Sus scrofa: one gene and its partner. The protein of the gene in region 1 interacts with the protein of each later gene in a pairwise test. Links are inferred from orthologs where the notes say so. Each region holds a gene or a part of one and is shown in the gene's direction. Other genes may lie near its edges.

What was found.
Region 2: the proteins of ZNF24 (region 1) and PGBD1 interact in binary tests that used the Homo sapiens proteins (3 or more experiments, as listed by UniProt). The two-hybrid records come from large-scale screens. The link is inferred for Sus scrofa from reciprocal best matches to the Homo sapiens genes ZNF24 and PGBD1.

What each region holds. Positions count from the first base shown.
Region 1 is NC_010448.4:119,160,967-119,164,204, reverse strand, and holds the end of ZNF24 (zinc finger protein 24), read left to right. Parts: intron 1-1,861; coding exon of another isoform or gene 1,862-1,881; exon of another isoform or gene 1,882-2,172; intron 2,173-2,184; coding exon 2,185-2,723; 3' UTR 2,724-2,738; downstream 2,739-3,238. UniProt on the Homo sapiens protein: Transcription factor required for myelination of differentiated oligodendrocytes. Required for the conversion of oligodendrocytes from the premyelinating to the myelinating state.
Region 2 is NC_010449.5:22,150,778-22,154,277, forward strand, and holds part of PGBD1 (piggyBac transposable element-derived protein 1), read left to right. Parts: intron 1-3,119; coding exon 3,120-3,500.

The sequences.
Region 1 (3,238 bases):
TTTTCTTACCTTAGTCTTTAATTCCTCAACATTAACATCATCATCAGCCTTTTTCTCTTCTCCCTGTTTCTTTGAAGACCCGCCCATTTCAGGCTAACATTTGCCTTACTCTGAGCCAGCACCCACCTGTAGACCAGATCTTTCCATTTTGCATGCAGTATTGCTTTTTTTTGCCGTCTGTTTCACATCCTTTCACTCTCCTGCCTAGTCCTCCTGATAACTTCTTCAAATCTAATTTTTTGGTTTGTTGTTTATCACTAAGGTTTTTTTCTGAATTTTTAGTTTTTGGGTTTTTTTCCCCCCAAATCCTATCTGGAGTCATTTTTTTTCCCCTAAGAAGCTTCTTTTGTAGAAATGATGCCTGGGTAGAATTCTTCACCTGTTCTAAATATTTAAACGAAAAATTGCCTTCCAGCTATAATATGCTTTAAGTACAGAAAAATTAAATAGAAAGGTCATAATTCGTCGAGGCTAGTCTTTCCCAATATCTTGGCAGTTAATGCCACATACTTATTTATTTTTGACACAACCCCATATATTCCTAAAACTGCTGGATTTCTTTTTCATAATTACATAAATTAAAATGAAATTTTGTTTGAGACTATTTGGGAATCATTCCCTGAGGAGACAATGCTAGCATGCCTCAGAGTGAGCTCTGAGTAGGCTCATCTCTGAGGGGCACAGTGCTTGGGAATCAGAACTTCTGAGGTGGGGCTGAAGTTTGCTGAGAATCTGCAGTTTTACATCTTCTATGGGACATTCTTCTGTGCAGTCTAGTTTAGGAATTGCTCTCCTTGGATGTTGGAGGTGGCATCTTCCTAGGTGGAAAACTTCTCCCCTGCCTGAACTTTAGAAAAATTCCCAGTTTCATTTATGGCTCATTTGGTGAAGAAGCCAACTAATATCCTCGAGGATGCAGGTTTGATCCCTGGCCTCACTCAGTGGATTAAGGATCCAGCGTTGCCTTGGCTGTGGTGTAGGCCGGCAGTTGCAGTTGTGGTTGTGATTTGATCCTTAGCCTGAGAATTTCCATATCTGCAGATGTGGCCATTTAAAATAATAGTAATAATAATTCCCACCTCTTTTTAAATAGCCTCGCTTTAGCTGTCTGGTCTCTACCACACTTGGGAGCTCAATTCTCTCTCTGAAGACCTCCATTCAAGGTCTTCAGACCTCACTAATTCCCTGTAACTCCTCATTGTCTCTCTCAGCCTTCTTTCCTGACTATCCCTTTCTCCCTCCCTCCCTTCCTCCCTTTCTTTTTTTTTGCCACCCTAAGCAGCATGCCGAAGTTCCTGGGCCCCTGATCATCCCTTTCCTAATCATTTATTATAGACTTGCTTACTGTTGACAACTTTTCTGAGCATTGCTGCTCACCCTTTAGTAACTGTTTATTCTTCAAAGCTTGAAGTTTCAGGAAAGTCATACCAGTGCCTGCCTACAGGTGGTGATGGTACCTCAGGGTGGTAATTTAGGCTGTTCTTTCACTGGACACAACTAGCTGAGGCTTAGAAGTAATAGTTCATCTTGAGTACATGACAAATACCAAATTTGGCAAGCTGCTTTTACAGGAAGACATTTGGTTATTAAAGGTGCATTGAATTTGTACCTGTCTTGTCCTGAATTAACATAGGATGCTCCCAGCTTACCTTCAGCTTCTTCTTGACAGGACCCTTCCTATATTCTCCTTTTAGTATAATCTTGGCTGTGAAGTGTTTTGTTTTGCTCATTTCAGAAATAATCACTTTATGACAGATTGGTTATTATTTACACCATTGTATTTTGATATAATTTCTCCATTTTTTTTAGAGCAAAAGAATATTAAAATGATTTCCTAATGGCCAGTTTTGTTTTTCTCCAGATCTGGCTGCATCACTTTGACTGTCTCTCCAACAGTCTTAGAATCTGCTGTTTTTCTGCCCTTTGGTTTCCGACTATCACTGTATAAATAACTTGCTTGTATTACCTCTTTTATTAGTACGTAACTTTTTATCCCCTCATATGTTATGTTCTCACTTCATTAAATTCTTTTTTGAGAGTAGGCAACCTTATCAGTTTTCGGAGTGCTGTTTCTAGACATATGCAAGCCATGTACTTCTAGTTCATTTTTTAAAAATTTTTCTTCAGGTTTCTTTGCTCCCAGAATAGGAAATGAGTGATATTTACATTTTCTGTTTATTTCAGATGATGATGCTAGGACTGAAAATGGAGCACTTGCTCCAAAGCAGGAGATTCCTTCAGCAGTAGAATCTCATGAAGCTCCTGGCACTCTCAATATAGGTGTTTCGCAGATTTTTAAGTATGGAGAAGCCTGTTTCCCCAAGGGCAGGTTTGAAAGAAAGAGAAATCCCTCCCGAAAGAAACAACATATATGTGATGAATGTGGAAAACACTTCAGTCAGGGCTCGGCCCTTATTCTTCATCAAAGAATCCACAGTGGGGAGAAACCCTATGGATGTGTTGAATGTGGGAAAGCATTCAGCAGGAGTTCCATCCTTGTGCAACACCAGAGAGTCCATACTGGAGAAAAACCTTACAAATGTCTTGAATGTGGAAAAGCTTTTAGCCAGAATTCTGGGCTTATTAATCATCAGAGAATCCATACTGGGGAGAAACCTTATGAATGCGTTCAGTGTGGGAAATCCTATAGTCAAAGCTCAAATCTTTTTAGACATCAGCGAAGACACAATGCAGAAAAACTTCTGAATGTTGTGAAAGTTTAAGAAGTTAAAAAAAAAGAAAATCAGCACTCAGGTCTTTTTCTTCTGAAATGAAGACAAAATTAAAAACATGAAATGATACCTAATAGTTTCCCTATAGACTGTTAGAAAATCCACTGGGAAATGTAGAAAATCTTCACCCACTCTTACTATTTTATCTTGAAAGAAATGGTGTCATACCTGCCTAGAAACTGAAATTTTAAACTTAATTCAGGTATTAATGCCTAAATCTTCCATGTGATGTTTATATTCTTATTATTTTTCCAAATGAACTACCTGATCCTTTGTCCCCTTCTTAAAAGATTCCTTCTTAGACAGATAAATTATTTCTGTATTGATCATTGAAATGTCTTTGCAAGGATACATTCCCTTCTGTGTTAAAAAGCAACATAGGAATTATAAAACCTGAACACTGAAACCTTTTTTCCAAATTTACCTTTGTTTCCTTTCACCTAATTTGAATATGCTTTTCAAAAATAGAAGATAAAGGATGACCAAAAACCTCAAAGTGAAATGAG
Region 2 (3,500 bases), on another chromosome or scaffold:
GAAGAAATTGGAATGGAACAAGAGAAACAAGTTGGTAAAAGCCTACTTCCCAGGAATAATACAGGAAGAGTATCACTCACTTCTGTGATCATAGGAGACCTCGTGCCAAGAAGGAGACCTGTCACTTTATCATAGTTATATAAAATCTTCAGTTTGGGAGTTCCTGTTGTAGCTCAGCAGAAACAAATCTGACTAGTATCCATGAGGACACAGGTTCAATCCCTGGCCTCTCTTGGTGGGTTAAGGATCTGGTGTTGCCATGAGCTATGGTGTAGGTCACAGACGTAGCTCAGATCTGGCATTGCTCTGGCTGTGGTGTAGGCCGGCAGCTACAGCTCCATTTTGACCCCTAGGCCTGGGAACCTCCATGTGCCCCAGGTTTGGCTCTAAAAGGGTAATAAAAAAAAAAAAAATCTTCAGTTTGTAAGTTGTCTCCAAGAATCCTATCCTGACTCAGTCTACCCTGCTTGATCACTCTTCCCCTGACTCCCTTATGTCTTTGTGGGGCTATAGTTAGAGAAGCCAGAAAAAAGAGAAGGCAGAGGATTTAGACAAGAGAGTGAGCACTGCAGGTGAGGTTGCTGTAATGAGTAAGAAAGAAACTCAGGAGTTACCATAGTGGCACAGCGAAAGCGAATCCAACTAGAACCATGAGGTTGCGGGTTCAATCCCTGACCCCTCTCAGTGGGTTAAGGATCCGGCATTGTTGTGAGATTGCAGATGTGGCTCAGATCTGGCATGGCTATGGCTGTGGTGTATGTCGGCAGCTATAGCTCCAATTAGGCCCCTAGCCTGGGAACCTCCATGTGTCGCAGGTGCGGCCCTAAAAAACAAAAGAAAAAGAAACATCAGACCTGGAGGAGGACTTAAGACAGTGCGAATATTTTCAACCTTTATTAGAGTCCTGAACAAGAATCAGAAGGAAAGTAGCTGATGATGAAGGACAGGTGAAAGATAGTAGTAGGCACTTAATGAGTGTTGGTTCTGGAGCTGTGTAGCATAGATGCTCCGAAACCAGAAAGAGAGGGACCGGATCATGAGCAGAGGGTTGGTTTCTGGTGAGGCCATTAACTCCTTGGAAACTTGAGAAAAGAGGAAGGAAACAGCAGAGGATAAGCATTCTCCATATTGACATTTGTTCATCTTAGGGAAACAGGGAGCGTAATCTCAGTTAAATGAGACATGCTTGAAGCTTAAGAAGAGAAGTGAAATCCTCCATAAAGTTGCTGAGGTCTGAGGAGAAGGCATCCCAGAAGAGGTAACATTTGAAACGAGACCTGATGAGTAAGCAGGAATTTACTAGCTAAGGAGCATCGGAGAGAGACAGAAAAAAAATGCAAGTACCTGGAGAGGTTAGGAGAAGAACTAGGAGAGTCAGAGGAGCCACAGAAAAAGGTTTTGAAGAGTAAGTTCTTGCATGAAAAATTCTGGGTCCTCTTTGGAATGGGAAAAGAGGTTATGTTTGGAAATACCAAGAACTTGGGTAGCAGCTGTGAGAAGAGTGATGCAATGCCTGTTGTAGGGAACAGGGAAGAAAGGCACAAGAAGAAATGAGAAGGATTTTTGGGAACTATTAACTAGGGAGACCAACATTTTGAGCGACGCCAGCTTGCCTAGTCATGTGATTTCTCTGGCAGTACTCACTCCTGGTTGAGGAATAAAGAAGACCAAGGATGCTGTTGATTTGGTATTGAATTTTGCTGGTCCAGGGTGGTTGATGATCCTGGCAAGAGATGGACTAAAGTGATGGATCATGGGATCTAGATGGAATGGGAAGGAAGGTAAAAGTAGGAGGGAATGGAGGAGTCAGAGGAGATAGAACAGCTATTGTGGGACAGAGGTGTAAGGAGCCTAGAGTGAAAAGAAAGTGGGGCTAGAGTTCCCATCGTGGCTCAGTGGTTAGTGAGTCTGATTACGAACTATGAGGTTGCAGGTTCGATCCCTGGCCTTGCTCAGTGGGTTAAGGATCTGGTGTTACCATGAGCTGTGGATGCAGCTTGGATCCCGAGATGCTGTGGCTGTGGTGTAGACTGGCGGTTACAGTTCCGATTGGACCCCTAGCCTGGGAAACTCCATATGCCACAGGTGTGGCCCTAGAAAAGACAAAAAAAAAAAAAAAAAGACAGAAAAGAAATTGGGGCTAGAGAGTGAGTTTAGTTTTCCAGTAGTGGAGAGTTCAGTGTAGTGACAGGATTCAGGGACAGTCCTTGAAGTTGAAGATGTTTGAGAACTCTAAGATGGATATGTCGAATGGCTCATACATACAAACATTAAAGACACTCAGGATGATAAATTCTCTAAGCAAATAAGTATATGTAATGTAAATTATATTACAACATACTTTCCCCACTGTGTTCTCTCCTCATGTCTTCTAAAATTAGACCATTTACCAATAGCATACTAGTAAATGCAAATTTCTAAAATTAAAAAAGAAATTTGTGTAAAACAATACTTTTTTCATCTTAGTATCTTTGGCCAGCTTCCTTGTAAACCCCATAAAAATTGGTTCAAGGGCAGTAAGTTTGAGTTTCTGTTTTGTTTCTCTCCAGAGTGGTGCATCAACCAGATGAATGCAGAACTAGGAGAGGCTAAATCCGTCCATATTCAAAAATTCTGTGAGAGGTGAGGGGCTCAGTAAATAACCCATTTCCTTGTCCAAATCAGAACCAATTGATAGAGACACAGGAGTAAAACAGATGATTCTGGAAGCCTCAGTTTTATGACTTACACAAGCTAGACTGATAACTCAAAGGCATGGATGCATAGTGACAGCAGACCTTCCCTCCCCACCGACCCCACCCCCATAGGTTTTTCTGATCCATAGGTTTTTCTGATCCATAGGTTTTTCTGATCCATAGGTTTTTCTGTGGCAAAAAGGCAATGTCTGCAACTTGCTCTGAAAGAGGACAGCCCAGTCCCTTCTCCCAGATTCAGCAGTTAGTTAAGTGGGAAGTGGGGCAAGGTTAGAAATGTTCAGTCTGGCCAAAGTCCTCCCCATGGAACCATGAGAAGTAAGAAGTAAGTATTCCCCACAAAAGAATGCTTAGGTATGAGTGGATTTATCCTGTATCAGTGAAGAAGACTGAGAATTTTTATAGCATACCTTTTTTCTTTCCCAGAGATTGCACACCCCAGGCCCCTTGTGGAATTTCTGTCCCTGTTGAAAGGACAGTTGTGCGTTTGAACACTCTGAAGGACCGTCACCCAGGCGACTTGTGGGCTCGGATGCACGTCTCATCCTTGGAATATGCTGCAGGAGACATTACTCGAAAAGGGAGAAAAAAAGACAAAGCTCGAGTGAGTGAACTACTCCAAGGCCTCGCATTTTCTGGTGACTCAGATGTGGAAGAGGATAATGAGCCAGAAACCCAGCCTGCCTCCAAACGGCTAAAAGTGTCAAGTGTCCCAGAGAAGAACTGGACCAAAAGAGACATTAAACCCAACTTTCCAAGCTGGTCAGCCCTGGATTCTGGACTTTTGAATCTCAAGAGTGAAAAGTT